Caenorhabditis elegans: one gene and its partner. The protein of the gene in region 1 purifies or fractionates together with the protein of each later gene. This does not show direct contact. Each region holds a gene or a part of one and is shown on either strand. Other genes may lie near its edges. The genes, in order: myo-2 and mlc-3.

Region 1 (18,219 bases):
GAATACCCTCTCCTCTGTTAATATTTAAAGAGTAACGTTGTTAATTTTATTGTTATCAGCAAGTGTATTCATCATAACAGGGTATTTATAACATATGAAACAGGGCATACAATTCATATTGTTAGTGCAAACGAGAAAGAAAATAAAGCAGGAAAACGGGGGGACGCAAACAAATTTGAACAACTGTTGAATATAATAGATTAAACTAGTAATATGTGTATCTATCGTAGAAGTCAATTTCCGGCAAAATCGGTCTAAAGCTTTATTGAAAAAATGCACTCATATGTTTAGCATTTTAAAAAATCTAATATCTCTGGTAACGGCTCTCTAATTAGATATGTTATAATTCCAATTCCATGTCAAAAATGAACGTTATTTTAGTTTTCTAGAAGCTTTTGCAGAGTTTTAGTTACATTAGTTTTTGTTTCAAGTATTGGTTTTCAACTTCTAAAACGCATTTTTTAACGGCTGACAAAATACTAGAATATTCGAAAAAGTTTATATCCAACAGTTGCAACCGATAGGTTGGCAAAAAGGCAGTTTTAAACAATCAATTGAATCTAACATTGCCGTGGAATAAAAATTTTTGTTGCTCTTTATATCACTTTTTAATTTAGTTGAAAGCCTTCCATGCTGATTCGAACAAATCGTCATGTTTCAAAAACTCCAAGTTCAAAACTTCATATCACTTTAAAACGGTTTGCGAATTATAGTTTTTTTTTACATGAAAATGTGTTTTTTGGTTAAGACTGTGCATTAGAAACAAACATAGTTTCGATTATCACTTCTTATTTTGGTTTCACTTAGATTCTCTTCAAAATGTTGCATTGGCGAGATTTTTTTTTTTAATAATTTTTATCCGTTTGACAGAAAACATTAAATGCAAAGAGCATGTTCTGATATTTCTATTGCACCAACGCAAATAAAAATGTATGAAAGAATGTCTGTCTTCATTGTTCAGGACCTTTCTGAATTTCGGTAATTAGAACCTTCGCGTTTTTGCATTGCCTTGCTATCAATATGTTCATTAGATATTTTTATGCACTAGCATTAATTTTCAATAACCTTTTAACTTACTACGTCAAATGTCCTTACAAAACGGGACAGGTGAAATCTAGAATAAGTAGATGTATTTGAACAAGGCTTTGAAACGTAACAGGCTGATCAAGTCTTTGCTCCAAAATTGCAATCTGATATTTGACAATCACAAAACATTTGTGGTTCTTACACTCCCTTGGTAGTTTAATCACTCTTGGATATGAGTTCTAGCAACTCAAGTGCTCAGCAAGATGCTGAGCATGAATTAGATTTCACAGTTTCATGTATTGGTGTTGTACCATTTGTTTTAGTCGTCTGGTTGTACTACATGACAAAAAGGACTGACGACAAAGTGAGTTTAGCATTATTCTGCGTTAGTACATTTTTAATAAGGTGCACTTTTAGAGATCATATTATGCGATTCATTTCAATCTGGTGACATTAAGCTCTGTTCACATTGTTGGATCGTTTATAGTTTTGATGATACTTTTGATAATAAGAGTAACCGACGGGTTCACTGGAAAATCTGAATGGATTCGTTTTTTATACAAGCGTAAGCTAAAGTTATAAATTTAAATGTACAGAAATTGTTTACAGTGTTCACAAATTTACTAATTCATGGATCTCTAATTGTTGCAACAATATTTTACTACCTTATCTTCATTTCCTCCATGCAAAGATTCATGCTTCTTACTATTGAAAAACTCGGAAGAAAGCTGATGACGGGGTAATTACTGATGAAACATGTCAAAAAAATTTAACATATCTAAACTTTGCAGAGCCAGATTGACATTCAACATGACAATGTTGTACTTTGTTGCAATCATTTCTGCAATTAACAAAATATTTGCTTCAAACAAGATTCCATGGGTGAGAATTTTTCGATATACTCTGAATACTATGATAGTTTTTAGCTTGAGATGATCACGATGGTTTTGTCTCTTATTATGCTTTTGCTGAGCATCATAATAATACGCCACATCGATAAAAGATCCAGATCGGGGATGTCTGCGCACGTTACTGTATTGCTGCAAACAGTGCCAATTGCTATTTTACTAATGGTCAGTTTTTTAGTCTTACCGAGCAATTTATGTTTTGACGTGCATAATTATGATACCTAGAAGAGGAATGTTTTTTATCATGCTGAAAATTATCTTTCTAATGGCCAAAAAATGTTGCGGAATTGTTCGTCCAGAAACCTGCTTTGTTTTTTCTTAGGGCTTTGCCTTAGCTAAATTCATAATTTCTGCAATGTTGAAAAATTAATTAAAGTCAATAAATGGAAGGTGTTCTTTGTACATACGAGATGCTCATTTCATATTTTATTTAAAAATGCGCTCTATCAAATTTCAAATTTGTTTCATTAACAATGACATCAAACGTTTAGAAATCTGAAAGTTTTATTGTGTTTTTACAATTTTTTTTAAATAATTTACAGTTTTTTGTTAGGTTCTCTTCAATATACCTTTGACTTTAGAAAAACAGTCCGCATTTTTTATAGGTTTACACTCGACTTGAATTATAGTTTTACCTGCTTTATTAGAGAAAACTTATGCCAATTTCAATTTTTTTACTAGCTCTAAAAACTGTTTTCTATTTCCAGATAGTTATCAAAATGTTGCTCAGTTTGTGATTGTGTCGTAGTCTGCAGCTGAAACTGAGTTCATTTCTAAATCAGACACGCACTGTGATAGATTAGAAACTAAACCAGGCAACACAAACAAATGCTAAATTTGCAGGTCTTCACAGTTGCAAAGTTTTATGTGTTGACAAGTGGACAAACGAACATCAATCTCATCACATTCCAGTCGTTCATGACGTTTTCTATATCATTCATGACACCTATATTTTTGATCATTGGTAGTCTCAACAAACGAAAAGTGGCTGTTGCTATCTTAACATGTCAACGCGGCACACGAATTATTGGAGGAGAAGTTTATACAGCGGAAAGGTCTCCTGCAACAATGTCTCATGTTGTCAGTATGGTGCCAACAAGGATTTGATATTTTTTTTATGAACGCATTAAAATCACAAAGTGTAAATATGTTTGAATTTTTCTTGTAAAATATGTGGTTCAACCATTATTAGATATTTTTAATAAAGTTTATTTTTTGATATTCTTGTGACACGAAACGTTAGTTTCAAAGCTGAAAATAATATTAAACTAGCTGACAGGATCTCCCTGGTTAACTGTTCGAGGACAACTGGGAAACTTTTACAAACTTACAACATGGTTCAGACAAGTTTAAAAATTTAAGTTTGAGAATCAACGGGACTTTTTCTTTTTTCGTTTTTTTTAATTGTGTATGCTTTGAAGATTTTCAAATTTATTCTAGTTTCAATAAAAACAGTAATATAATTGAGTGGGAGTTTTTTTGCTGTGATGTTTTTGGTGTTATTTACAGTGATCTTCTTCTAAATAGAAAATCAATGGTTTATTGATCAAAAATATTGAGAAGTGTCGAATCAATTGAAGCATTGAAGGACAAATTTCCACTATCCTACAAATCCGATGCGTAAAAATTATTAAACAAAGTGAAAAAAATGCATTTGAAGAAAAAAAACAACAGAGAAGGTGTTGATGGGCTTTTATTGTGACACGTTGAATGTGTATGTGTTACTGTGCAGTGGTAGGTTTGGGGGACGTAGGGGAAGAGAAACGGGTAAAGAGATTGAAAGAAAAGAGAGAAACGAGATGGAATTAGAGCAGTTGATCTACTTTTGCTCGGCGTTGGCGCGTGTTCGGCTTCGGATTCTGACAAGACATTGCTCAGCGGAATCGGCTCTCTCTTCAGCGGTTTCAAGGGAAAGTTGGACGGTTCTGTACTTGCTAAGATGGCTGTTAGCTTGCTCCTCCTGAAATAATATTTACAATTGAAATTTTATCGACTATGAAACATACAGCTTCCTCGAGTTGCTTCTTCTGGAGCTTGAGCTTGGCTGTGAGTTTCTCAACTAATTCTTGGAGCTTATCGTAGTTCTTCTTGTCCTCAGCAACCTGGAACTCGAACTCGCGGACCTTGCGGTCAGCACGAGCAAGGGTCTTGGATGCTTCTCCGGCGCGACGGCTCTCGGTTTCCAAGTCACTCTGGAAGGCTTTCAGACGTTGCTCAGCCTTCTGGATTGCCTTGGCTCCTCCCTTCATGACAGCTGCCTCAGCGGCGTCGGCACGCTCTTGGAGATCCTGTAAGATGGATTGGATGAAAGATATAACTGATCGTTTTTTTTCTATTTACACAATCTTTAAATCTGTGACGCGCAAAAGGATAAGTAGTTGCGACGGTGGGAAAAGATGCACACTCTAAAACAAACAAATATCGCTTTTACACTGAACGGCCAAAAAACTGCGAATTCTTAAAGCGAACATACCTTGACAGCGCTTTCAAGTTGTTTCTTGAATCTCTCAAGTTGTTGAGATTGCTCTTGCTCGTGGCGGAGGTCCTCAGCAAGTTTGGCGGCGTCGCTGGCAGCACGACGTCCACGGTCTTCGGATGCGGAAAGTTCAGTGTGGGCCTCAGCGATGTCGCTGTTGAGAAGGGCAATTTCGTTGTCGAGTTGGCTCTTGGCAGCAGCGAGGGCAACATTTTGGGAGTTGAGTTCGTTGTTATGCTCTTGATGTTCCTTCACCGAGCTTTCGACAACACGACGGGCACGCTCAAGCTGAAAAAAATCACATACAAGGGGATTTTCCGAAACAAAATTCTTACAGCCTCAAGCTTAACAATAAGCTCTTCTTGCTCCTGTTTGGCAACAGCGAGTTTTCTCTCGGCAGCCAAAAGGTGCTCACGGAATTCTTCGCGTCTCTTTTGTTCCTCATCCACGGTTTGTTGAAGCTCGCGGATTTGGTCCAAGTAGCGTCTGAATGAAAAAGTTGGTGTACACAAAAAAAAAACTTATAAATTACCTGATATTCTTCTGGGCATCTTCGTTCGCTTTGTTCGCATGGTCGAGGGCGATCTCCAGCTCGTTGATATCGGCTTCCAACTTCTTCTTGACACGGAAAAGCTCTGACTTGGCCTTGGTCTCGGAGTCCAAAGTAGCTTGGATGCTGTCGATGGTTTGTTGGTGAACCTTGCGGTGGTTCTCGAATTCCTCCTCCTTCTCGGCGATTCTCTTCTCAATTTCAGCACGGATTTGGGAAACCTCGATCTGGCAACGGAGAGCCTTGCTTTCCTCAGATTCGAGGGCAGCTTCAGCCTCGTCCAATCCACGTTGAAGTTCTTCCTTCTCCATTTCCAAACGACGAAGGTTCTTGGAGAGAGCGTGGGTAGCACGTCCTCCCTCGGAAAGTGATTCGGTGAGGTCACGGGTCTCGTCGCTGAGAGATTTGTTCTCGCGACGAAGTCCTTCAACTTGATCAGCCAAGGTATCGTGCTGTCCACGGAGTTTGTGAGCTTCTCCGGAAAGTTGACGAGCATCGCGTTGAGCTCCGTCCAACTCGAGGTAGAGGTCATCGACCTTCTTCTTCCATTCATCAATAACCTTATCAAATGCCTTTTGCTTCTTCTCCAATGAAGAGACAGCTTGGGCATGGTGCTCAGCCTCCAGACGGTTGGCATCAGCTTCAGCTGTCAAGCGGCTGCGAGCATTCTCGAGTGCGACAATCTTGGCGTTGCAGGCATCAAGAGCATCTTGGATCTCCGAAGTCTTCTGGTTTTGGCGTTTCTTGACCTCATCGAACTCGTCGGCTCCAATGAGTCCCTCGGTCTCGAACTTAGTTCTCCATTGATCGAGTTCAACGGAAGCCTTGGAAAGTTGACGAGAAGCCTCGTTCTTTCCAGCGACTTCGTCTTCGATGGATTCCTTGAGCTGTTCAAGCTCACGAGCCAAGTTCTTCGACAAATTGGAAAGATTTTGTCTCTCGCGGGATTCCTCCTCGGCCTGTCTCTTGGCATGATCCAATTCGTTGGAGAATTGGAGTTTGAGGCGGTTGGCAGCTTGGATCTTGGCCTCCAATTCTTCGACTTGGCGGGCCAAATCGGAGTTCTCGGAGTTGAGGCGTCCCTTTGAGGAGACGAAATCTTGAAGCTGGCGGGATTGTTCGTCAGCCTTGAGACGAAGCTCAAGAAGTCTGACCTCGTATCCCTTGGCAATTCTCTCCTGGTCAGCGCGGAGCTTGGCTTCTTGGTCAAGAGCAGCAGAGGACTCATCGAACTCGCGTTGCATATGTCCTTTCTCCTTCTCAATTCTTCCCTTTTGCTTTTGAAGTTGCTCGATTTGATCGGAAAGCTCTTGAATAGCATCTGATCCCTTCTTCTTGAGAACAGTGAGTTGCTCTCCGAATTTAAGTCCAGACTCTTCAAGATCACGACGGAGCTTGGTAAGCTCAGCATCCTTCTTTTTTCCGAGCTCAATTTGGGCAGCGGTGGCACGGGCTTGGTCTTCGAGTTGCTCGGTGAGCTCATCGTACTCAGCCTGTTGGTCGGCTCTCGAGCGATCAGCACGTTGGCGAGCATCCTTCTCATCGGCAAGTTGATCATGAAGATCCTTGACTCTAGCCTCGTCTTGCTGAATTCCCTTTTGGAGTTTAGCAACAGCAGCTTGCTCGTCTTCGAGTTTCATTCCCAAGGTGTGCAATTCGGTTTCCTTGCGTCTCAAAGCATTTTCGGCATCGCTCTTTGACTTGTTGAGCTCTTCCAAGGTTTCTTGAGCAATCTTGAGCTCTCCTTCGGCCTTTCTCTTATTCTTGTCCATATCAGCACGGTTTCTCTTCTCGCGCTCCATGGTCTGCTCGGAGTCTTCAAGAGATTGCATGAGTTTAGCCTTGAGCTTGTTGGCTGCCAAGTTTTGTTCCTCAGCAGCTTGGAGATCCTCGGTGAGTTTCTTGTTCTGCTCTTCTTGGTTCTTGCGCTCCTTGTTAAGCTTAGAGATGTTCTCGTCCTGTTGTCTCATTTCATCTTGAAGAGCACGAATCTGGTGCTCCTTGGCATTCTTCTCGGCCTCAACCTTTCTCAATGAGAGGTCAACATCTTGGCAGTTCTTCTTCAAGTCAGCGCATTCGGCCTCGACAAGCTTCTTTTGCTTGTTGATTTCAACGGCACGAGCTTCTTCAACTTCGAGCTTCTTGCTGGCATCGGCAAGCTTTCCTTCGAGGGCAACCTTCTGCTCATTCATGGCGGTCATTCTTTCCTCAACTTCGCGGGTGCTTCCCTTGCTAGCCTCCAATTGCGCCAAGAGGTCAGCCGTCTCTTTGTTGAGACGTTCCGCACCCTCTTGGAGTTGGCGCTTCTTCTCCTCCTCTTGCACCACAGTGTCCTTAAGAGTAGCTACAGTCTCTTGAAGCTTCTCATATTGAGCTTCGATCTTTCCAGAGTTAACGAGTGGCTTGACTTTGCCGTAAAGCTTGAACCACACCCAGGTGCGGAGCTCAGCCCAGCTGCGAATGTTTCTTTGAATGATCTTAAGAGCTGTGATCTTTTCAACACGGCGCTTGCGCTCAATCTGTAATAAAAAATCATTATTTGAACATTTTTGTATTATTAAATAGACATACTGTTTGGTAGTACCAACGGATTTGAGCTTGAAGTCCGGTGATGAGTTGAGCAAGGCTCTGGTCACGCAAGTCTTCCAAGTGGGCGACAATTCCGGCCTTGAAGAAGACCTTGGTGAGACCAACTCTAAAGTTCTCTTCTTCGAGCTTCTTCTCTTTGACCAAACGAGCAAGCATAAGAGCGGATCCCTTTTTGGCATCAGTCTTTCCAATGATAGACTCATCGGCAGCAAGAAGAGCGTAACGCTGAACAAAGTCTGGATGGAGGGTTCTGTTGGGGAATCCCTTTCTGCAAATTCTGATTCCTTCCAACACTCCGTTACAGGTGAGCTGATTAAGCACAAGTCCGGCATCAATAACTCCTGAAGCCTTCTTCTCGTTTGGAATAATACAACGGATGAAATGTGGGTGAGTAGAGTGAAGCATAGTCATCAACTTGTTGAGAGATTCTCTGTAGAGCATAGAAACAGTCATGAACGATCCAGACTTTCCCTTCTTCTTTGCACCAGCAGTTCCCTTGGCGGCAGCGGCAGCGGCCTCTTCCTGGGTGGTGTAATCTTGCCAGACCTCAACAATAAGAGCGTGCTCCTTGGAAGCCTTCATAACGGTGACAACGGTGTCGTTAAGAGGATCCTTGTTCTTCTCAAGCCAGTTCAAGCAGTTGTAACGGACAGTTCCAGCGTAGTGCCGCATGGCAAAGTGAGCCTCGGCTTGTTTTCCCTTTGGTGGTTTTGGCTTCTCGAAGTTTGGATGCTTGCCCAAATGTTGATCAATAAGCTTTTGGGCTAAGGTCAAATCAGTAGCCTTTGGAACGATGCATTCTTCATCAAGCATAGCAATGATACCAAGTGGCTTCTCAATGAGTTCAATACAGGCTTGCAAATCGAGACCGAAATCGATGAAGGTCCACTGGATACCTTCACGAGCGTACTCTTCTTGTTCAAGAACGAACATGTGATGGTTGAAGAATTGTTGAAGCTTCTCATTTACGAAGTTAATCCAAAGCTGTTCGAAAGAGTTGAAGTCGAAGATTTCGAATCCGGCAATATCAAGCACACCGATGAAGTGATCACGAGAGATTCCCTTCTGATCAAGAGTTTGGTTACATTTCTTGACGAGCCAGTTGAAGATTCTGGAGTAGAGTCCCTTAGCCATAGCTCCGACGGCCCAGTTGACCTGCTCGATGTTCTGTCCCTTGTTCACCCATTCGTTTCCGACCTTGACACGTGGACGAGTCAAAGCCTTCAAGAACTCCTCCGAGTCAATTCCGAAGCACTTAGCGGCTCTTTCAGCATCTGCAAAGAATTTGTGATAATAACGTATGCTATGTTATGTTATCCTATGTAGTGTTGGAATTTTGAAACATTTTTTTAAAATCATTGTCATAGGCAAAAAGTGAAGAGTCGATGGGGATGAGTAGGTAAACTTTAAACCCCGCCGCTAAATCCACTCTATATGCCTGTCCCGCTCATCCCACGCTCTCATGAGATCTTAAGTAAATAGAAGGAAAGTTTCCAAGAATCCAAAAATCTACTGCTTCCCGTTTCTAACTTACCATCTGTGCCATCTGGCTCGGCCTGCTCTTCACGTGGACGTTGCTTGAACTTCATGTTACCCATGTGCATCATGGCGGCAACCAATCGGTAGCACTCCATCTTTTCAGTTGGGGTAAACTTGAGGATATCAAAGGCCTCATCGGTCAACTGATGCTCTTCCTACAAGAAAACAATATCTGCATTTCGTCATGTTTTGATCAGTATTACCTTGTCATTGATACCATCAATGATCAACTCAGCTTGAGCGATGAACCAGTAGTCCTTGACTGGCTTGTTAAGAAGGAGGTCCTTTTTAAGGTTTGGCAAGTAATCGGAGAAGACTTGGTAGAAAATGTGGTAACAACGCTCTCCTGGAGCTTGACGGATCACACGTGACTTTTCAAGAAGATCTGGAAAATTTTTAAATATATACAGGTCAAACATTCGAAATGATTTCAAACTTACAATGTTCAATATCGCAAGAAGCGACACGTCCTTGCTTGGAGAAGTGAATACGGATGAACTTTCCGAAACGGGAGGAGTTATTGTTACGGACAGTCTTGGCATTACCGAAAGCCTCGAGAACTGGATTGGTTTGGACAATCTGGTCCTCAAGTGTGACTTTCTTCTTGTTCTTGTCTTCTTCGGTGGCGGCCTTCTTGGCTCCGAAGGTCTCTTGTTGAGCAGCACCGACAGCGGCAAAGTAAGAGATAACCTTTTTTGTGTTCTCAGTCTTTCCTGCACCAGATTCTCCGGTAATGAGCATAGACTGGTTTTCGTGGTTTTGAAGCATGTTTCTGTAGGCTTCGTCAGAGACGGCGAACAAGTGAGGTGGCATTTCGGTACGGCGCTTGCCCATGAACATGCGGGCAACGGAATCGGTATAAATTGGGAGACGTTTGTATGGGTTGATGACAACACAGAAAAGACCCGAATAAGTCTAAAAGAAAATATGTTAAATCATAAAACTATAACAACAAAGTTCTTACATAGATGAGCATAGCAGCATAACGAGCTTTCAAGTTGTACAATACGGAAGCATCGTTAAGGAAAGTCAGGTTAGACATGTCTTCGGTTTTCTCGAATTTTGGTGGATTCATCTCTTGGACAACATCCTTTTTGACAGTCTTCTACAGAAAAAAGCAACATAATAATTGACAAATAAGTGGTTTTAAAATTCACTTACCTCGGCTCCCTGTCCAATGGACACAGTTACATTATCTCCAGCGGTTTTAGTGATGACACCCTCAATGTATCCGTCTTCCGAATCTGGGATCCAGACGTTCTTCTTGGAGTCATATGCGCGGGATTGATCCTTTAAAAATGGAAGTAAAAAAGTGAAAATTTATAAAGATGATTTTTTTTTTTAAACTAAGCAAGCTTATAACATTCTTTAGACAAAAAAACCATGCTTTATAAAAGTACCTGGAGCATCTCCTCGCGACTGCGGCGAAGGTACTTCCATCCTGGGTCGTTTTCGTAATCCATTTCTGTGTCTGACGATCGAGGGTTAAAATGAAAAGTGGTGGAGAGAAGTCAACCGCTCGGTGGGATGCGCGAGCCTGGAGATAACTTTGATTTTCGGCGAGCCCTTCTTTTTCCCTGGGTGGGTGGATTGGGAGGCGGGGATATCCAATTGTAATTCTAGGTAGCTGAAAAGTGTCTGCACACTGTTCTCTAACCATCGACGCAGGAAAAGTCTCTTTCTCAAGTGCAAATAGCAAAAATCTTCTTTCTTCCCCCCCATCTTCCGAGCAAGGCGCCCCCACGGATAGTTGCTCGCTGGCGGTAGGGAGCGAAGAGAGCAGAGAACCTCAACGGGATAGTGGGGATACGAGAAAAGAAACGGCATTTTAGGTTAACTAAAGATAGTGAAGAAGCCGGCTCAATGCAGAGAGGCAGACATCCGACGGCAAACAACGAGAGAATTTTATCCAGAACAATGAGTACAGTGTGTGCGCGCAAAGTGCTCTTCCTGCCATTTTGCTACTCTTATCCACACAACCACTTTAGCGATTACCAACCTATCTTGAGACTTATCTTTATTTTCTCTTCTTTTGCCGACGAAACGGGAGAGAGGGGCAAAAAATGAAGAATCGGGGGCACTGATTAACACACTTACTTTTTTTTAGGCTGAAGCACACATTGCTGTTCGGGGTGTAAAGTTCAGCAGAATTCAAAGCAAAAGACCACCCGCATCGGTAGTCAATATTGATCTGGAAGATTATTAAAAATTGTCAGAGTGAGCCATATGCATATGAATTTAATTCATACATAACATTTATAAGACAGGAATAAATACCAAAGTGAAGTTATTATTTGGTCGATTATCACTTTAGCATAGTGAAAGTATCCCTCAATGTCTCTACTTGTAAACTCAGTTGATTTACAAACGTTGTTTTATTGATTATAAAATTAGTTTTATGGACATTTAAAGCAAAGGATACTACTCAGATATAAAATGTACGACGTTTTCAATACTTTTACATTTCATTTTTGTTCTTGTAGCTTATGGGGATGTCACAATAAAACGTCCACAGCACAAAACCCACAATGTACAAGGTATAATTATGCTTATCAAAACTCGAATTGCAACCTGGTCAGGAGTAATTATTATTACAGACAGTTACTGTCCACCACCCCCAATTCAAATGCCTCGAGACATGTTCTAGTTTATGATTGATAACACACAACTTCCTTCTCTAAACCTCCGCACGCTATTCAATAATGATAACAGTGCCCATATACAAGTTGCTCCATTTTCTCGTACACTATACACAACACAATTATTCTGCGTCTTCAATTCTATCAAAACAAAATCGATTGGCCTAATCGGTTTCCTTTTCTCCATAATCCATAATGATTTCTGAACGAGCACCACTACTTGAAAATGGGTTAGTTTTGTGATGTAGTTGATGTTCGTTTATATCAGAGTTGTGATTTCCTGTGCTTCTATGACGTATTACCAAAGAAAAAACATGAGATCTTTTTGTATTACAGAGTTCCTCACATTTATAATACAGACGAAGGTAGAAAAACCACAGTCACCTATGATAACTTTCATTGCCACGATGAAGCTGACTCAACAGATTCACATGATAGCAATCGGAGAGGTATTGCTTTTAAAATTTCTGCCAAACTCGAGTCCTAATGAAACCTTCTTCAAACTATTTGTTTCAGCAACGCGAATTTTATGGCTCACCGTCGTGCTCTGCCTATTTTTTATGGTTTGCGAAGTTATTGGTGGTGTTCTCGCGGGCTCACTCGCAATTGTCACAGATGCCGCACACTTGCTCACTGATTTTGCGTCAGTGCTCATTTCGCTGTTTTCTCTGTACATTGCAAGACGGCCACCATCGCAAAAAATGAGCTTTGGGTTTCATAGAGCCGGTGGGTAGTTGGAAGAATTGAGCGACATAGTTTGAAATGAATTTCAGAAGTTTTGGGAGCATTTTTCTCAGTTTTCCTTATTTGGATAGTCACTGGAGTATTAGTTGTTCTCGCAATTATGAGAATTGTCAGCGGAGATTATGAAGTAGAAGGAGGAATTATGGCTTTGACAGCCGCTCTTGGAGTGGTTGTAAACTTGGTGTAAGTGTTTTTATGAAACGAGTCTGATAGCTTTATTAACTGGTATACACTTTTTTACTTCGATTTGAAATCGATATTTGGCATGAACTTTTATCCGGGTGGGAGCCCCAGGAATGTTGACATGTCAGAAAAATGTCTGTCCATGTTATTTTCTTTTAACTAAAAATTAGGCTGTCACGGACTTACGGTTTTCAAAGAAATTTTTTTGAGTTCGAAACAAATCTAATGTGACATATGTATCTTAATTGATATTCAAAATCAAAATTTAAGCATGCTTGCATTGTTGTACTTTGGTGGTCATTCACATTCTCACGGAGGCGGAAGCTCTCATGGTCACTCTCATGGTGGTGGCAACGGCGATAACATCAACGTCCGAGCAGCTTTTATTCACGTTCTGGGAGACCTTTTACAAAGTTTGGGCGTTCTTGTTGCTGCCCTTTTTATCTATTTCCAGGTGAGTGTTTTTTTCTCGGCAAACAATGACGTCTTATCAAATGTTCTGTAATTTTTCAAACACAATGGATCACTGTTTCAGCCGTCTTGGGTTATTATTGATCCAATTTGTACACTTGTTTTCTCGGTTATTGTGCTATGCACCACTATCTACATATTGAGAGATGCTATGATTGTTTTATTGGAAGGTCAGTGATACGTTTCAGTGGCAACAACATTTCTAGCTTTTTAGCGGAGTATCAAAATAATGTTTTTTTATTGAAAAAAAAAATAATTTTAAAAATTTTATTGCCTTGAGATTTCAGCAGTTTTGACAAAAACCTGTTTTTCATTCAAATTAAGCAGATTACTCTTTCCTTGCAAAATTTTCAAAATTTTCGAAAGGCGGGAACAAAAAAAACAAAATTGTTTTATTTTCAAAAATTCAGTTTATAATATTATCTAACTTTTTTGAATTCCCAAAATTCTCGCTGATTTCCATAACTTTTAAAATTTTCAGGTAGACCTAGCAACATTGACTTTGCGAAAGTATTTTCGTCCCTTGAAGATATAGAAGGTGTTAAAAAGGTTCATGACTTGAGAATTTGGAGTTTGACGATGGACAAGGTAGACATGACACTCAAAGCGGATTAACCCAAATTGTTTTCCAGATTGCACTCTCCGTACACTTGGAAATTGACGCCAATAGTCAATCTCAGTCAATTCTACGCGAAACTCGAAAAATGTTGAAACAAACGTATAATGTACATGAGATTACAATTCAAATTGAGGAGTTTGGAGCAAATAGGTCGGATTGCGGAAAGTGCGATTTCCCAACAAAATAAGGAGGGTTATGTGATTACATTTTATTATTGAATGAGATTTTTGAATTTTATTTATGTATTTGTTGTCAATTTTTGTTTGAAAAAAAAATGTTTCGACTCCCTGATAAAACCAATAACAGCACAAAAGATATTCTTGTTCATTCATTCCTGTTTCATTCATTCCAGAATTGCTTAAATTTTATTTTCAGATCATAACCTTTTAGATTTTTGAAAACTAATGATCCAACGTTTTTAAATTATTTCAAATTTTCAAAATTCAAAACATTTTGTAGCTATATATTAGACGTAAAACAAAAACTGCACATGTTCTTTTAACAAAACAAATTCCCTTAGAACAACACTATTTATTAACGTTCCCAACTAAAAACTAAAAAAAAACAAAATCAAATATTCAAGGAATTTTCTCGGAAGGTTTGTTTTCCTCATAATAATCGCAGCATCCATCTGAATCCAGATCTCTTTCATATTTCTCGCAAAGTTTCTGGAACATGTCATTGAAGTCTTTTTCAACACGTTCCAAATGTTTATTAGTTTGTTTCCGACTGAACCGATGAGAAAATTCTCCCTCTGCAACCAACGTGACCTGAAAATATGAGTTGAAATTTTCGATGATACAAAGTGATTCAACAAACCGATTCACCGACGTAAAAGTCGTTCATATGACGTAATGCGAAGCAGAATAAAAGACACAGAATTACAACGAGCCAAACGTCGGAGTTGTCACGAGATGCTTCGTTTTCTCTGGAACAGATTCAAAAATTTATTTATTCGAAAACAATTATGAACATATTGGTTCAAAAGAACATTGACGAAAAGTTAAATGTATAAATGTATTACATTTTATGTAATGAATTACCTAGGGGAGTGCTGCTCATCTTGAGCGTTAGCCAGTGTAATTGAAAGGATTATTATAATAAGCAGGCAGGTGAGACAATTGCACAATTTTCTCATTTCAAATCAACTACCGAGGATATGTGGACAATGCTGAGCTTTCGCCATTTTGACATTTCCGCAAATAGTCTCTGACTGTTTATTTGTTGAAGAAAATAACTGATAGGCAACTGAAGTTAAGCTGTTAATTTTTATAGGCTATAATAAATAGAACTTCGAAAGATGGAATACAAACTTTCAAAAATATGCGGTAAAGCACTTTTTTTAATTGATAAAGTAATTGGTAAACTTAAAAAAACTTACTTCAGGGTTGTCAATATTGGCTGAAGAATATTAACTTTCAATCAGAAAGATGTAAACAGAAGTTGACAAATATTTTGAAATGCAAAATTTATTTATAACAATTTTTACAGTACTCAAAACGAAATTGCAATAAAAAAATAATTTTAAACTAGCTTATTTGATTCCACACCTTAGATGCCCTTCTTGTCAGTGTGCTAAATTTTTTTTGATTACTGCCAGAAGTCTCCCAACAGTTTCGAAGTATTTTTAAAATTTGACATTTTTGTAGATTTAAATCAAAAAATAAATATGATTTTCCAAGTTGTCGTCACTATCTTGTTGGCATTTAGTGAAATAAAACTACCGACAAAAAATATGTTCACGTAAAAATATATAAAAAATCAGAATAACTGATATGTTCAAAAACGTTGGTATTAAAGTTTATTGTGCAAAGTTGTAGTCTATGAAATGTTTGGTGATGTCAAGTTTCGGGAAAAAAACCACCTCCGATTGTTAAGTCTAATAATTTCTAATCAATCAATGTGTAAAATTTAGAAATAATTTATTTCAGAAACTTCATGATTGGCAGATGACGTTGTTACCTTCACTGAGCCCCTTATTCCTACGGTAGGTGCTCGCCACGCCTCTTCACACATCTTCTGCGATTGTTTTCGAGTTATCACCAATTTGACTCCTACACTATTTTCCGCTGTATTGAATAACAAAATATCAGTTTCCATCCCAATCAATACTAAAACTGTGTATCCAGTTTGGTCAGCTTCCGGTCAGTTTTGAACATTCTGTCTTTATTGTCCGCTACCGTCCCCGCTCGTACAACATTTTGTGTTTGTCCACAAATTATTGTGATTGCTCTTGTTGTTGTGCGCCCGTGTAAATGCCAATTTTTGTCTGTGTGACTATAAGAATTGAAGTATACGTACTGCAAAATGGCATCCTGGATTGTAACCAAATAGGGAGGAAGATACAAGAAAATGTATCGAAATATTACATTTTTCTTCCGAGATCATATAAATCGACACATTCATGGTTCGAACAAGTTTATATTCGTTCATCTCTTTCTAGGTTGATGTTAGATTTTCTGCTAGAAATTCTTAAACTACCAAGTGTTAGAAGACTTGTGTGGTTAATACAAACTTTATAGACTCATCCCAACCTTAATTCCAAAAAGCCTAATCGTAAAGTAATGGCTCAGAATTTTTTGATTTTGTAAACTCAAATTCTGAGTCGTCCCTTCTTCTATCCAACTTTTGATCATGAAAAATTATTATGATCTGTTATGATTATACCTGTACCGCGCACAAAATCAGCTTACTAACAGTGTTAAAATGCTCCACAAAACATTTTTAGCATTAAACAGAAAACCTGATTTAGTTATTAAGTATACATTTCATCACCGTTAACAGTAATATTTAAGACGATTTATTATTAAAACAGCAAAGGAAATGAAGGTTACCTTATAAAACTAAACATTCTCATTTTTGTTTTAAAATCAAAGCGTTTTTTTCATAACCTTCTTTGAATTCTTTGTGTTTTTTCAATTCTCAAAAAATCTTTATCATTTTTCTGAAAACTAAACCAAACGAATTAAAAAATTTTACTCACATGTTAAAACCATTTGTATCTTCGACTACAAATTTTGGCCATTTTGTTTGTCACAAAAATCCGTTTCTGATTGAGCTACGGTAGATACAATTTGCATAATCTAACAGATTCTCGGCGTTTTGAGATATCGGGAACCAGTTAGATCTTTAAAACGATATCTATTTTGGAATGCACTTTTGAGATTTGGATACAAAAGTTCATTCTGATCAAATTGACACTGGAGGTCTTGTTAAATTATTTCAATAACACTGACATCTTCTGGTTTTACTCTTTCTTTTGAAAACGGCATAACAACATTTTTTTACAATATATTACAGCTATTTCCTTTCAAAAATGATAGTACCGGACACTGAGGGATTGTTAATTTATTCGTATGGACTGATGTACGGTTCATATTGTATGGCATGTCAAATGTTGATTCCACACTTTCAATGCATACCCGGCATTTTTCCAAACTTTAGAATTTCAACTGAACTCATCAAGACTATGACGGATAAATTGGAGCAACCGAACAACAACGTTCCTCAACAGCCATGGGGCCCTTTTCCTCCTGCATTCGGTGGCCGGCCAAGTGGTGAACAGACTGATGGAAATCCAGGAGAGTTTGATAATGATGCTGCACATCAACAAACGGCTCCGTTCATGACTCATTTCTTTCCAAGAATCGGTGAGATGTTTGTCAGAACAAAACTAGGGCTGTGATTCGTTTTTTATTGATTTCCATTTAAGTCAAAAAATTTCAAGAATTCGTAATTGTATGGCTGAAATTTTTTGTAAGTGGGATCGATCAGTACATTATCACTCAGTTTACATATAATTTGAAAAAAAAAACGAAAAGTAATTGCTAAAAGTACTCACCAATTTGCCGAAAAATCTCTACCAACTTTAGCAATGCCCATTCCAAAATTGAGCAACTTTAGCAATGCCCACTGCAAACTTTAGAAAAGTTGAGTAAAGTTGGTTAAAGTAGGAGATGATTTAAAAGATACTACAATTGGGAGAAAAGCTGCGAGATAGTATGGTTCGTTATAAAGCTGCTAGTGTTTCTTGAGAAAATGCGGCAAATGGTCGGTCATTTGAAATACTTCAAACTAGAGCTGCAATCTCTGTCATATTTTAAGTTTGGGAAAATTAATAAATACTTACCCAGCTCAGGATAAAAGTTTCTGGATATATATCTTTTCTTTATTTTCTGATCTTCATTTTTTGAATTTCAGGACTTCAATTCCCAGACTTTACCGAGTACCAGCGTTTTAATGGCTTCCAACGAAACGCATTCTTCCCTAATCCATTCGGATCTCAGTTCACAGGCCAAGCATTTGCACAGTCGTTCCCATTGCACAATTCAATGACTACCATGGATGGTTTCAATTTGACACATGCTCCTCACCCGTTTTCAACAAATACAAACTCTACAAAACCTAAGGACATTGAAAACACGGTTCAAAGTACAATCAAACACAGTTCGGAAAACATCCAGGATAAGCCACCA
Region 2 (14,593 bases), on another chromosome or scaffold:
TGTGAAGAATCTCGCTTTGATTAGTCACATTACAACTGATTCCGATGAGAAACCCGTTCTCAGATTGTTACTCAATTCGGGAGTCGAGGATTTACATAATGTGCATTTCTCGCATGTCAATAAGCCGTGAGTTTTTACAAATTAAAATTTTAAGTGTGAAATCTTGAAAAATAAAAGTTTTGAGAATGCTAGTTTTGAAAAAATCGCATATTTTAATCAATTTTTATAAATTTCTAAAATAAATTATCAATTTCATAAAAATTAGATTTCAAATCGAGTTAAGGTTTGACAATTTTTGAAAATTACTAGATCCATTTTTTTGTGTTTTTTCCTAAAAAAAAGGTTATTTTTATCGAAAATTTTCAGTGAAAACACGTTGATCTTCTTAAACGGAGTGCTCATTGGAACAGCTGTGGATCCAGAAAGAGTGGTGAAAGCCGTCAGAGATTTGAGAAGGTTTCAACAAAAAAATGTTGCCAAAAAATTCATCGAATTTCAATTTCAGAAGTGGACTCCTGTCAGAATTTGTTTCAGTATCCCGTTCTCTAACCAATCGTTCTGTTTTCATTTCATCAGACGGTGGCCGCCTGTGTCGACCATATATTATTGTCAAAAACGGAACTCCAATGCTCACACAGGCTCACGTGCAGGAACTGAAAGAGGGAAAAATGATTTTTGAGGATTTTGTTGATGACGGAATTGTCGAATATTTGGATGTAAATGAGATGAACGATGCGTTGATTGCCGTTTATGGGAGAGAAATTGGCCCAGAAACTACACATTTGGAGGTACGTTTTTGAACTTTGTGAATCTAAAAATGAAAAAAATTAAATCGAAAACTGGTTGTTCTTTCCTGTAAAGAAAATTCAAAAAATTTGGTAAAATTTGTCTGAAACTTAAAACTATGTGAAAAAAGTTTAAATTCTCATTTTTTTAAATATAAAAAATTGAAAATCAAATTATTTAGAGCTCTAAAATTCTATAATTCAAGGAAATTCCAACATTTAAAGATTTTTATCCTTAGTTTAAAATAAAATTTGCACTTTTCAGTGTCTGAGCTATTAATAATCTTTCAAAATTTCCAGATTGAGCCATTTACTCTTCTTGGAGTGTGTGCTGGTCTTATTCCATATCCACATCATAATCAATCTCCACGTAATACTTATCAATGTGCTATGGGTAAACAAGCAATGGGAACAATTGCCTATAATCAACAGAAAAGAATTGATTCAATTATGTATCTTTTATGTTATCCACAGAGACCACTCGTTAAGTCAAAGGTTCGTTAAAATTGAAATATTTTAAAATTTATGAAAAAAATTTGATTAAAAAATGCATGTTTCATTTATTGAACTAATGTTTGTGGAGAGATATCGTTAATAATCCTGAAAATAAAAATAAATCAATTTCCTGAATTCCGAAAAATAAAAAAATCAAATCGGAAGTATCCGCTATATCTTTCTAATCAATTATTCTATTCAGAAATTTTTAATTTGTTTTTCTTTTAGAAAATTATCAATTGTTCAAACTTTTTACATCACAATTTTCCAGACAATCGAACTGACAAACTTTGAAAAACTGCCGGCCGGCGCGAATGGAATCATCGCAGTGATGTCATACAGTGGTTACGATATCGAAGATGCTCTTGTGCTCAATAAAGCTTCACTGGATCGTGGTTATGGTCGTTGTCTGGTCTACAAACATGTGAAGGGAACCGCCAAAAAATATCCGAATCAGACATTCGATCGTCTTCTAGGACCAGCATTGGATCCGAACACGAGAAAACCAATTTTCAAGCACAAAAATCTCGATCAAGAGGGTATTGTATTCGCCGGAGCACGTATTATGCCGAAACAGACGATTATCAATAAGCACATGCCAGTTGTCAGTGGAGAAAGTGGTCCTGGAGCGTCGGCTTCTGCCAATACAAGTATGTTGAAATGAGCATGACGAATTTGTATAAGGAAAATAAAAACGGAATGTACAGTTTCGAGAAGACATCTATTTTTTTAAAAGTTTTACGAAAAAAAACACGAAAAATATAAAAAAAAAAGAATAATAAACAATTCCCAGACCAACCTCGTAAAAATGAAAGCGAGTTTTCAACAGAAACCCTGTTTTAAAACTTTTTCCAAAAAATCTGAAGTATTTATAGCATTTTTTAATTTTTACCAATTAAACAAATGTTTTAAAAAAAAACTCAAAGAAACTGTCTCCGTTCTTTTTTGCGAATATAAATTTTCTAACTTTTTTACGTTCACAATTAAATAAAACTTGACATTTATTCCGTTCAAATATTCAATTAATTTAATTTAAAACGAAAATTTAAATATAAAACTCTGAAAAAGTAAAAAAAAAAACGTTCACTAACAATTCTTTAAATTTTCAGTCGGAATCGCTGGACGCCAAGTTGACTACAAAGACGTCTCGATCACGTATAAAACTCCAACTCCATCATATGCGGAACGAGTTCTTCTTACCTATAATGAAGATGAAGCTCATTTATTCAAAGTTCTTCTTCGACAAACCCGTCGGCCAGAACTTGGAGATAAATTCTCATCTCGACACGGACAAAAAGGAGTATGCGGATTGATTGCTCAACAGGAAGATATGCCATTTAATGATCTTGGAATGGTGCCAGATATGATTATGAATCCTCATGGATATCCATCTCGAATGACTGTCGGAAAATTAATGGAATTGTTATCTGGAAAAGCTGGAGTAGTGAATGGAACATATCATTATGGAACAGCATTTGGTGGAGATCAGGTTAAAGATGTCTGTGAAGAATTGGCTGCTTGTGGTTATAATTATATGGGAAAAGATATGCTGACAAGTGGAATTACTGGACAACCATTATCTGCTTATATCTACTTTGGACCAATCTATTATCAGAAGCTCAAGCATATGGTTTTGGATAAGATGCACGCCCGTGCCAGAGGACCGAGGTGTGGAGAGATTTTGAATTTAGATAATGTCTTGTCTGGAAATTCTGAATTTTGGAAAGAATTTTCAATTAAATATTTAAAAATTAAGTTTAGCAACAAAATCTGAAAAAGAAAAATTTTTAGAACAGTTAACTCTGCATTTTCCAACTTTCCTTTAAAACTTTTGATGTAAAACAATGAGGAATTGCAACATTTTTTTAATTAGAAAATTTGGTATCAATCAAAATTCACTTATTTTTATCATGGTTAAAATTTCGAAAAAAGCCAAATTGAAAAAGTTCTGAAAAAGGAATTGACAAAATGCTCGAAGCTTAGGAAATTAGGGGAAAAAAGAATCAATTTTTCATAGTGGAAATACATTTTTTTCAAATCCAATTCGCGGAAATGTTATGCATATTTTGGAACAAAAAAAACCATTTTAATTTTTCTCACATTTTTTAAATTAAAAAAAAAACTTTTTTTAAAAATTTTTTTCAATTTATTCTCAGAGTTTCTTTTAAAAATCTATAAATTTTCAGAGCCGCATTGACTCGCCAGCCAACAGAAGGAAGATCACGAGAAGGAGGTCTACGTCTTGGAGAAATGGAACGTGATTGTCTCATTGCCTATGGAGCATCGATGCTGCTTATTGAGCGTTTGATGGTGTCATCAGATGAGTTTAAGGTAAATTCCCTTACCGAGTTTTTTTTAAAAGTTTGCTACTTTTGTGTGTGTGCGCGCAATTTTTGCTCATCATTACACTAGCCGTAACACTCTCAAGTGGTTCTTTTTTGCGAAAATGAGGAGCGAAACTGTTGCGGGAGAGACTGGGAGAAGCCTTGCGTGGGTTGACTTTGCGGGTCGACTTTTCTTGGAAACTGGGTTGACGTTTTTTGGAAAGGTTCTTGAAAATTTTTGATTTACCGCAGAGAAAATTATGGATTTTGTTTGATCATGAGAGAATACATTTCCCGACTTTTATCTGAAAATATCGAAAAAAAAGGTCGGAAACCGATTATTAATTTTTTTTTGAACTCCCACTTTTTTATAAGAACAGAGAAATCGATTTTAAAAAAAGCATTTTCCCTAAAAACTTTTTAAAAAAAGCAAAACTTTCTATTTTAATGGCTCTGAATCTCTGTTGCTCGGAAGTTAAAAAAAATCAAATTTTCGGTGCTATTCGAGCAAGATCCATTCCCAAATAAAAAAAATCTCTCACAATTCAGCGATATTTCGGAGTTTTTGAGAACATTTTTTACTAAAACCGCCTTTTCTTAGTACAGTCGTACCGAAAATAATATTTTCTGCACCTGTCCCAGGTGGCAAACAAGAATCAGAGATCTAAAGACTTGGAAGTGAACCTCACATTAAGATCCCTCCAGGAAACCTTCGGAGCTCTCGTCTTGATTCGCTTCTTCCTTCCTACTTTTCGTTTTTTTTTGCCCACAAAATAGTCATCGAAGAAGAAGAAGAAAAGATGAGATTTTTGCCCCGATGCGAGATGCCTGGTGAATAGTGTGATCTTCGTGGAGAGATGTCTCGCTGATCTCTCCTTGATTGCCATTTCACTATATCTTCCACCCCGAAGTCTGTGGACTCCACTGATCTCCGCATCTCTCGTCATTGAGTAAAAGCATTGGCAGAAGAGAGAACAGAAGAAGGAGGAATAAGAAGGAAGAGATATCTCCACAGTGGGTGCCTGTGCTTTTTCTTCCCGTCGGCTGTGCTCCTAGGAGTGGAATGCCGAGAAAATGTGCGATTGAAGTGGCACGCGGGGAGGATAGAGAAAGAAAATAAAGATATTGAAAGGGAGAATAGAGAAACATACGTTTACAACGAATTAATCGAGTTCGGCAGCCAACACGGGAAAAATGAACTTGTGAAGATGTGTTAAAACACAAAGATCTTATTAATTATTGAAGAGGGAGGAAATAAAATAAATTAACATTTCGAGCATTGGGGTACTGTAGACCTATTCCGTAAACAGAGAAACAAAATGGTTTAGCAGAATTCGCGGACTGAGGCGAGAGGCAGGCGGAGGTTGCCTTAAGGTCAGGCAGGCAAGCGTTTTAATGCAAAAGTAATGGATACTTGTTGAGCCTTATAATAATGTGTCGATATTAAAAAACACAAGTATGGATTTTTAACATAAAAAAGTTAAAAGACGCATGCTTAAATATTTTATAGGATAATTTGGTACTCCTTAAAACTCAGTTTGTATAAAAAAACGATTCGATGAGAGTATAATAGATTTCCAATGTAACTTAATAAATTTCTTGTTTTCCAGGTCGACGTGTGCACTGGATGCGGAGTAATCGGCTCGAAGGGTTGGTGCCAAAAGTGTCGTTCGAGCAAGTCAATGGCGAACATTAAGATTCCGTATGCGTGTAAGCTGCTCTTCCAGGAACTTCAATCCATGAACATTGTCCCGAGGCTGGACTTGGCCAGATACACCGAATAACCTTGTTTTGTAATTGTTGTTGTTGTTGTTATGCTTCTTCTTTCCCCTTCCCAAATCATTTTTTAATCTATTTTTTACTTGTTCCCCGAAATTTGAACATTTTTTGTTGTTTTTTTTGTCATACATTCATTCTTAAACTTATCATGAAAATTTTCTAGAAAATACTTGTTGAAACAGTACGCCGCGCTTTCTCGCTCTCACATCCCACATCTCGCCACTCTATCTCTTGAGCATTACATCCCTCTCTCTATCTCTCGGGCTCCCGAGGGGTGAAATAGTGTACTCGCGCGGGAGTGCGGGAGCTCAATATCCGCCCCAATCCGCCCCCATCCTCTACGAAGAGTCACACACAGTTTACACTTGGGTTGCCACTGCTCTGTCGCCTTCACTCAGTTTCCACACTCAGTCCCCCCTGCTCTGCCGCCGCTGCAACACTCACACATCATCACATAATGGCTCCACCATCCCAAGGTGAGTAATTTTTTAAGCAATGTCCCCAGCTCTTAGGGATACCTTATAAGGTTTTAGGACTTCTAAAACATTTTATTTTTAGTTTTTTTTTAATGTTTCAAAAATATATCCAATTCCCCAAATATATCCCTACAATCCCAAACATTTTTTCAAACTTGAAATCGTTCTAGACGTGCTCAAGGAGATCTTCAACCTCTACGATGAGGAGCTTGACGGCAAGATCGACGGAACCCAAGTCGGAGATGTCGCCCGCGCCGCCGGACTTAAGCCAACTCAGGCTATGGTGACAAAGGCCGCCGGACAGGAGTTCAAGCGTAAGGGAGAGAAGAGACTTACATTCGAGGAGTGGCTCCCGATGTACGAGCAACTCGCCAAGGAGAAGGTACGGTATTTTAAACATCTTGCCTGTGCCTTTAACCTTTAGCTGAGAGTTTTTTGAGATTTAGGGATCTAGGGGCCTCGCGCCAAACCTTTAACTCCCGCACCGAGTGATAATCAAACAAAGAAGATGAAGCTTGAGATTTGTTTTATTTCAAGGTCTAAGTAAATATTGGATCTCAGAGGTTAACCCCATACAGTACCCCTAGCCGAAAACTTTTAAATCACAACTAAGGGTCTGAAAAATCTGAACATCCTCTTCCACCGGCACATGCCAGCCGATCCCTAGAACTTTAGAGAGATAGGCGGCGGCGGCTCCCGTGAAGCATGTGTGGGAGAGGAGCACATAGGACTCTCGAGAATCTCTCTTGGCACACACAAACACACACATAGGCACAGTGTAACAATAGAGAGCATCATCATTCTGCGTCTACTGGGTCCTTGTTGTAGATATTTGTATGGATAGGAAGTAGTAAGGAATAGGCAAGGGATCTTGAGTAAGGATCCCCATATACGGGTAAAAGAATGGAGTGAGTATATATGAAGCTTCTAGGAGCTATTGAGTTTTGGAAAGAGCTGCCAGCTCAGACTATTTAGTGGAGGTTTAAGGTAAAAAATCCTGTAGATCTTTGATTGAATTCAACTAGGGCATTCTCTGGACCCACAACCGTCAGTATTTTGAAAGCTTTAAGGCAACCAGTTTCTTAGAAAAGATTCAAAACAGCACATGGAGATCTTGAAGAGCCAATAGAAACCTACGAACTGAGCTCAGAAGACTGGACAACTCATAAAGTTTGAAATAGCAAGTTTGGCCAGATATTTTGGGAAACACATTTCGCTTTCGTTATTAAATAGTCTGCGAAGTTTACCTGAGCACATATCTACTCAAATTTGACAATCTGAAAGTCAGTGTCTAACGAATTTTGGATAGAATCCTAAGCGAAAATCAGAGAGTTCTCTGGAGCTTCGGGATGGAATTAGCTGATGTTCGAGGTTACTGTCACCTGAATAGGGAATGATTTATGTTTACTGGAGTTAGATGCCTACCTTAGGGTCCGCATGTAGAGCAGATCATCATTCATTTAACATTGAGATTATAAACTGAGAAAATTGTTCTTTCCAATATAAATTTCCAATTTCTTCAGGAGCAAGGAACCTACGCTGACTTCTACGAGGGACTCAAGGTGTTCGACAAGGAGGAGACTGGAAAGATCTTGGCCGCTGAGCTCAGACACATCCTCTTGGCTCTCGGTGAGAGACTTTCCGCCGATGAGGCCGATGAGCTCCTCAAGGGAGTCGAAGACGGAGAAGGCATGGTCAAGTACGAGGGTAAGCCGATTTTTTTTCTTCTCGGAAATTTTTTTTAATTGAAATTTATTTCAGATTTCATCAAGAAGGTTTTGGCCGGACCATTCCCAGACCAGGACTAAATTTTTGGATCTGAATCTGTGCTACACCCATTATAATGTTTAAATTTTGAAAAAAAAAACACCATCTTCTCTTACCCAAATTTTTTGCTCCCCTTTCCCTTCTCTGCCTTCTTTCTCCCCGTTCCAAATAACGATGTTTTACTTTTTTGTCTATAAACCCATCGTCTAGTCGCTCGTTTTCTTCTACGCTATACACGTAAGAGATTCCACTCGCGTGCGCGCATTCCGTTTTCTGATCCAGAAAACGTTTTGCACTTTAAAAATCAGCGCGCGGTTTTCTCTTCTTTTTCTCCAACACATTCAAGCCTGTTTCTATGATCAAGAAATTTTCTTTCTTTCTTCATTTTACACTTTTTTATTCAGAAATTCATTCGTTTCTTATATTCGTTCTCCTTTTTGGATTATAATAAAAAACCTTTTGAATAATTATGAAATGGAAATTTTGGTATAGTACATGTAGTAAGTTGAAAGGCTGCTAGAAATATCAGCTTTTGAGTCGATGACCTGATAAAAACAAACTGCCAGTTTGATTTTTATCAATTGATTTATTTTCCGTCTACTGTGCAAGAACGGTAGCTTCCAAAAAATAAGAAATTGCCAAATTATTTAAACAATTTTTCGTATATATTGTTAGCTGACAACTATTTTTTATTGTATCACCACCTAAATATAGTTTTTCAAAAAATATCACTCAATCCTAAAAATTGGTGAAAAGAAACAATTTCACCTTAAAAGCTTTCAAATTGAAGTTAGAGTAGCGAAACTGTCCACTTAAATATACTAAAGACCCAAAATATTGATTTTTGTAATGAAATGAAACTCTTGGAATTCTGTCCAAAATTTTTTATGACGGTTAAAAATTTTAAGAAGAAGGGCTAAAAATAGCTTAAATATCAAATTTTGCCAACTTTTTCGTATAGAAGCTGCCAGAGTTTCAAAAATATTATCATCAAAGAGTAAAATTATTTATTTTTGAATGTTCTGCTTGTTTACTGAATAGTTGCTAAGAAGTTAATGCCATTAGTGTAGAAAACTAGTAAAGCCTACTCAAACTTGAAAATCATCATTTACTCTTCCCCCTACAAAAAATTTCAAAATCAAAGTTTCAAACTAGTTGATCAAGAAAATTAAAGAAAATATAATACTTTTAGAAGCTGAAAACAGTTTTGCAAAAAATTGCATTTCTAGTTCAAAAACTGAGAGCTATTGAATTTTTGTTAGGTATTCCAAAAATGAAACAAACACCATTAATTTGCAATGATACAATTTTATTAATTTTTTTGAAAAAAGCAGTTTCAGATCGATTGATTTGCAAGATTTACATAAAAACGTTCGTAATTTCGATTTCCGACAATTCAAGCGGTGGTTGGCTTCTGATTGTTAAGAAGAGCAGATGGACGAGCAAATGCACGTGGAGCAGCATCATCCTTATTCTTGTTTGATCCCCAAGCCCAGACTGATGGATAGGCTGCAGCGGCTACGTATGGAGAATAAACTGATGGGTAGGCGTAGGCAGATGGAACATAGGCGGCCGAGTAGGATGGGACAACGTATTGTTGATGGGATCCGACGATCATGGCGCAGAGAAGGACGGCGACGAAGCTGGAATTTGAATTTTAGGCCTGATTTTAGTTGAAGCCTATTTCTAGGTATTCTGCTTAAGGTTTACATCAATCTTACGTCTAAACCTAAAATAAGCTTCTTGAGCATTAACCTAAGTCTAAGACTCAGCCTATGCCTTAGCCTTTCTAAGCCTAACTTAAAAAAGATGACTTACCACTTGGCGAACATATTGAATTGAAGTGACTTGAAATGTCAGTATTGAACTTTCCGATATTCTACGTTTTATACTCTACCAAACCTTTACAAAAACTTGTACATAACCAGTTATTTTCATTATTTCTTTATGGAAATCTTCTTGCACAAAGAGCTTCTATATTTACTCAAGTAGTTGACACATGCGGGAAGTCTTTGGCGGGAGAAACTTCTAAAAAAAGTACGCAAACGTTTTGTTACTAATATATACAAATAATGTAATAAACTAGTTATTGGATGATTTATGGTGTCATAAAGTAGAAAAGGGCCAATTTTTGGGTGTACCACTGGAAGATCTTTGAAAACCAAAGTAAAAAATTTTTAAAAAAGTTCGATCTCCCAGAAACAGTTTACACAATAATTTTTGAAAATTCATAGTGAACGAGTATTGAATTAAAAAAAAACTACTTCATTCGAATTTTTCTTCAAAGTTATTAATCCAAAAACTAAAAAACTAGAATGTTGGTCTGGAACCTGAAAATATTTCAAAAATGTGTTTTTTTTTCAAATATCGCGACCAATAATGTTCCAATCTTCAGAATCCTTTAAAAATTTTTTAATAAAATTTTAATTTAAAATTGTTTAATTTTGCTCCCAATTTTTCAAGATAAAAGTTAGGACTCTGTACGTCAATTAAAATAATTTGCTCTAAAACGTTACAGAAATTTCAGAAATTGCATCTCCTCAAAAATTATTTTTTTTGGCATAATCAAAGTTTTGAGAAAAAATGCAACGCTTTCTTTCACAAATCCCCTTCGTTTATTTTCATCTTTTCCAATTGCCCAAAAACAAGAAAAAACGAGATTCCCGTGGATTCTAAGAAGGAACATGATTTTATAAACAAATGAATGGATGTTGGCTGCCTTGAGCATTTATAGCATTCAATGCTTAATGTGGGAACTATTTAAGTACTTCCACAGTTGTGAGACCAAAACAAAAGATTTAATGTTATTTATGGAAATGATTGTGTTCAGTTGGGTAATTTTACCCTCTCAATCAGAAATAATTATAGTTATTTTTGATTAAAATAAATTCCCATTTTCTGCGATTCCAATTAAAAATATAAAACACTTATTTTATTATAAAACACTTGTTTTAGAAATTAGAAGACGTTGAAATAAAAAAAAATAATACTCCGGTAATATTTTTGCCGTACCAAAGTGATATTCATAAAAATTACAATAACCGATCTAAAAAAAATTTCCAAAGAATTATTCGATTCATTCACAGAACTTTTATTTGTCAATATCAATTCAGAACCCTTCCATCTCACGTCTTGACTTACCAAGTCAACCCATATTATTATTGGTTGCCGCCAAAGTGTGCTTGCAACTTTTAGAGTCAGGTGACCAGATCATGGTCATTGACTTGCTCCGTGAGCTTAATGTTACAAAAAGCTCAAAAAACTTGACAGGAAGGTTTCACAGAACGGGTAGGTTCATATTTTGACAGAGCGGCAAAATTTACAAAATTTCTTTATTTATTGAAATGTTTAAGAACGCTAGCAAATTTTCAGAGAACATAAAATCAAAGATTTATATTTTTAAAACCGTTCGGTTGTTGTCTTTCACTTAAAAGTTAAGTGTTGTGTATTGAGCGACTGTTGTGTATTGAGCGAGTGACAAGGAGAGAAGAAGTTTATTACAAGAGAGTGTAAGAAGTAATGAATTATAAAGAGAGGTCGCTTACGCGATAAGTTCATGATGACCCAAAGGTCACGTCTGTATAAAGTTCAGGTTTACGTTCCGTCCACAACATTAAGATTTAAGCATAAAATATTTTTGGCACCAGACACGTTCAAAAATTTCCGATCGCAAAAATTTCAAAAGTGGAAGTGTGGAAACTTTTCGACAATCTGCAATACTTAAAACAACTATACTGAAGAAACAATTTTCTTTGGTAAATTTCCGAGCATTGCCGAGCTGCAAGGTTTAGACAATACGCCAGCAACTTGCGATTTCAATATTTTTTGGCAACCTAAAATTTCCGCAACCGTAGAAATCGATAAAGTTAACAAGATCCTGTGAACGTTTTGAAATTTCATTTTTTTTCCGCAAACCTCACAAATTCTAATTTCAGAAAAGTGAACTTGCAACTTTGCCCTTTTTAACTATCATCTACTCTCGTGTCAATCTTCCCCATTTTCATCGTTTTTCCCATGATATTTGTAATAATCTAGGTCAGGAGCAATGTTTCTGTCAGGTGACAAGATCATGTAGGATATCAATCACTGCTGCTCCTCACTGTTCACGAACCGCCGTGCTCGGCGAGTCCCCATGGGACACGGGGAAGAGGACGAGGGGACATTGCTGGAAAAACATGTCACTAACAGAGATTTCAAGCCAAGTAATAGTCACACAAAAAAATGGGACATAAACACCCATTCTTTTGGCATGTAGGCAGTGGGCTTCTATAATCCCTGCTCGTCTTCCTTTTCTTAGGACGTAGTAACCATATTTTAATCCAACCAATTTTTCATTTTCACATACAAGAGAGAAAAGTAATCCCACTCGTCCGATTGAAAGTCTATATTTCATTTTTCGAATTTTTCAATAACATCTTGTTTGGTTTCTGGAAATTCCAGTTGCTCAATGCTTGTGGCAACATATTTCAAAAGTTTGCTCAATTTTGAGTTGACCTAATTTATTTTGTAAACTTTGTTTCTCATTGTGCCCATTCGTTAGAAGTTTGAGTCCGTTTTGCTGTAATTTTTTTGGTAATTTTTGGTAATTGGTAATTGTTGACCAAAATTTTTACAGACTGTATATGTTCCAGAAAGGTACAAAAAACCAATTTTGTTGTCTACATAACCACCTACGCCTGCTTTCTCAAAAAGAACATATGTTCTCTATTAGTTCTGAACCCCATCTGTAGGTTACCGTGATTTTTCTTTTCATTGTCTTCACTTGAACCTCTGAATACGTGCATTTTCTGTGAAAAATGAGCAAAAAAGAATGCTCAATCTTTCATTTATTTACCATGAATCACTTCATTATTTTTTTGATATTCTCACATTATTCTCCTTTTCTCTCATTTTTCTTCCGTTTTTCACCCATTATTCAGACATTCCAAAGGACCCTCTTAAGTTGTTTGGAACACAACAAGCTTGTCAATTTGTTCCGGCTTCATCCTCATCTTTTCTCGTTTTTTATAACAGTAATTTGGTGAGAGCACAATGGAATGTGTGCTCTTTTCTCTTTCGGGAACTCATTTATACTTCGTTGTAAAAACATTTGAACTTTTGTGTCGTTTTTATTCCGTCTAAAAGCTTTTCGTCAACTTTCATGTGTGGCAGGTGTGTTTACGAGCACATGCCACGTGACGACTCCGCCCATTTTGAGCCGGTAGGACATTTTTTGATTGCTGGAAATTTTTTGGGTTCTGGGTTTGTCGGACTTCATAATTTCGTTTTTTTTTAGTATTTCCCTTTTCAACTGAGTTTTTCCTATTTTTGTGAAATCCTCATCGTTTCTTTTTATTTGCTTTAAATAGGTTTTATGAATTAATTTATGAATTTTTTATATTTCCAAATGAAAGCATCAATTTTCAAATTAAAAGGAAAAAAATTCTAAAAATTAAGGTTTTTATTTATTTATTTCTAGATTTAACCAGATTTACTTTTGTTTCATACTATATTTTTTCAAAATCCATTAAAAAAAGAATGCTCCTTTGAAAGTTTGAAAATTTTTCAATAAACGTTCGCTAGATTTTAATTTTAAAGATTGGCATCGAAAATTTCGAATTTAAATAAATTCAGTAATTGGGAAAAAGGAAACATTTTCGAATTTTCTTGACCTTTTCAGATTTTTAAAAAATGTTTTGCCCAAACGAAAAATATTTTTACAATTTTTGTTTAACCAAATTTCTGTTGAAAACTAGAGAAAAACGATTTTTTTGAAATTTTCTGGAATTATTTTGGAAACTTCCAAAAAAAAACAATCTATAACTATCCAAAACTCGTGTGGTTTTTTTTAAATTTTAATCCAAAGATATGGAAAAATCATTAAATATCCGTACAAATCTGGAAAAAAATTCCGAAGAAACTTTTGAACGAAAAATTTCCGAAATACATATTCATTTTCCAAAACTTGCACAACATTTTCATAATCACTCTCTTCCCAAAAGTGCACGTGGTATGCAAAAGGACCACCACAGGAATGAAAGAGTCCCCCCTCATTTCCTTCACTACCTCCTGCTCCACCCCCTCCTGCCAGTCATCATTTTCTTGCTTTTCCTCTAAGCTTCTTTGCTAATTTCAAAGGAAGGGAGCTCCCGTCTATTGCTCCCGTGCTCTTTTTCTCTTTTTGCCTCAACAAAAACTCAAGGCTTCATCTCAATTTTCAGTTGTAACAAATCTCTCTGTCTCTCTCGTTGAGCATCAGCCACCCGCCGCAGTTTTTCAAAATAACCTATATTATTATCATATTTTTTCGAAAGTTGTTTGGCGCCTTTGAATATGATACTTTGTTTGAATTTTACGTTTTTTTTTAAAGAATAAGAGTTTCAACAAATCTTTTAAATTTTCTAAAACATCTTTCATATCAAACTTTTTTGAAAAATTATTAAGAAATTATCAATTGACTGTGAGATTAGATGAAAAATTCAAATTTTCGTAAAGTAACTGATATTTATCATAGGAAACTTTTTTTCGAGCCCAAAATGTTTAGTTCGTTCATAAGTTAAGCACAAATGAGTTCACCTAATATTCAATTTTTTTGTTCATTTTCATTAATTTACATTTTTTGAGCTGTAATTTTGAAATCACATTTTTTTTCTTAAAAAAATGTAGCTCTTCAATTTTTTTTTGAAACGGCATTTGATTTTCCACACATTTTTGAAATAAAAATTTTCCAGGAAAAAACTTTTTTGGTTAGTTTTATAGTATTTTTCGTAATTATAATTATTCGAGCCGTACTGTGAGAACTGTGAGAACTTTGATATCTGAAGGGAAAATAATAACATTTCTTCTTAAATTTGATCATCATTGAAAATTTTGAATTATTCTCCAGTTAAAAAAATAGGTGTCCCGTTTTTTGTTTACTTATTTTCTTCTTTTTCTGAGTATAAAAGCAAAATAAATATTTAAATAATCTTTAGATGTCTTTCTTTTT

The links.
Region 2: the proteins of myo-2 (region 1) and mlc-3 purify together in Caenorhabditis elegans (affinity purification with mass spectrometry, with the first as the bait; one large-scale study listed by BioGRID). This does not show direct contact.

The regions. Positions count from the first base shown.
Region 1 is NC_003284.9:12,460,481-12,478,699, reverse strand, and holds myo-2 (Myosin-2), read right to left. Parts: upstream 10,640-18,219; 5' UTR 10,552-10,639; coding exon 10,489-10,551; intron 10,379-10,488; coding exon 10,250-10,378; intron 10,194-10,249; coding exon 10,053-10,193; intron 10,004-10,052; coding exon 9,529-10,003; intron 9,474-9,528; coding exon 9,292-9,473; intron 9,244-9,291; coding exon 9,084-9,243; intron 8,824-9,083; coding exon 7,532-8,823; intron 7,480-7,531; coding exon 4,943-7,479; intron 4,897-4,942; coding exon 4,746-4,896; intron 4,699-4,745; coding exon 4,408-4,698; intron 4,223-4,407; coding exon 3,941-4,222; intron 3,895-3,940; coding exon 3,754-3,894; 3' UTR 3,352-3,753; downstream 1-3,351. Other genes in the region: F45E6.1 (Serpentine Receptor, class Z), read left to right, coding at 1,259-1,390, 1,444-1,591, 1,636-1,765, 1,818-1,908, 1,953-2,099, 2,778-3,041; cdf-2 (Cation efflux protein cytoplasmic domain-containing protein), read left to right, coding at 11,923-11,957, 12,064-12,176, 12,244-12,453, 12,501-12,654, 12,925-13,108, 13,190-13,295, 13,607-13,713, 13,758-13,931; T18D3.5 (uncharacterized protein), read right to left, coding at 14,323-14,514, 14,564-14,672, 14,788-14,882; Nuclear hormone receptor family member odr-7, read left to right, coding at 17,061-17,394, 17,945-18,219.
Region 2 is NC_003281.10:5,559,292-5,573,884, forward strand, and holds mlc-3 (Myosin, essential light chain), read left to right. Parts: upstream 1-5,733; 5' UTR 5,734-5,840; coding exon 5,841-5,859; intron 5,860-6,029; coding exon 6,030-6,241; coding exon of another isoform or gene 6,242-6,283; exon of another isoform or gene 6,284-6,525; intron 6,526-7,382; coding exon 7,383-7,566; intron 7,567-7,620; coding exon 7,621-7,667; 3' UTR 7,668-7,716; downstream 7,717-14,593. Other genes in the region: rpc-2 (DNA-directed RNA polymerase subunit beta), read left to right, coding at 1-126, 367-456, 506-788, 1,086-1,280, 1,552-1,930, 2,390-2,948, 3,467-3,611, 5,215-5,388; nspb-12 (Nematode Specific Peptide family, group B), read right to left, coding at 9,023-9,269, 9,445-9,458.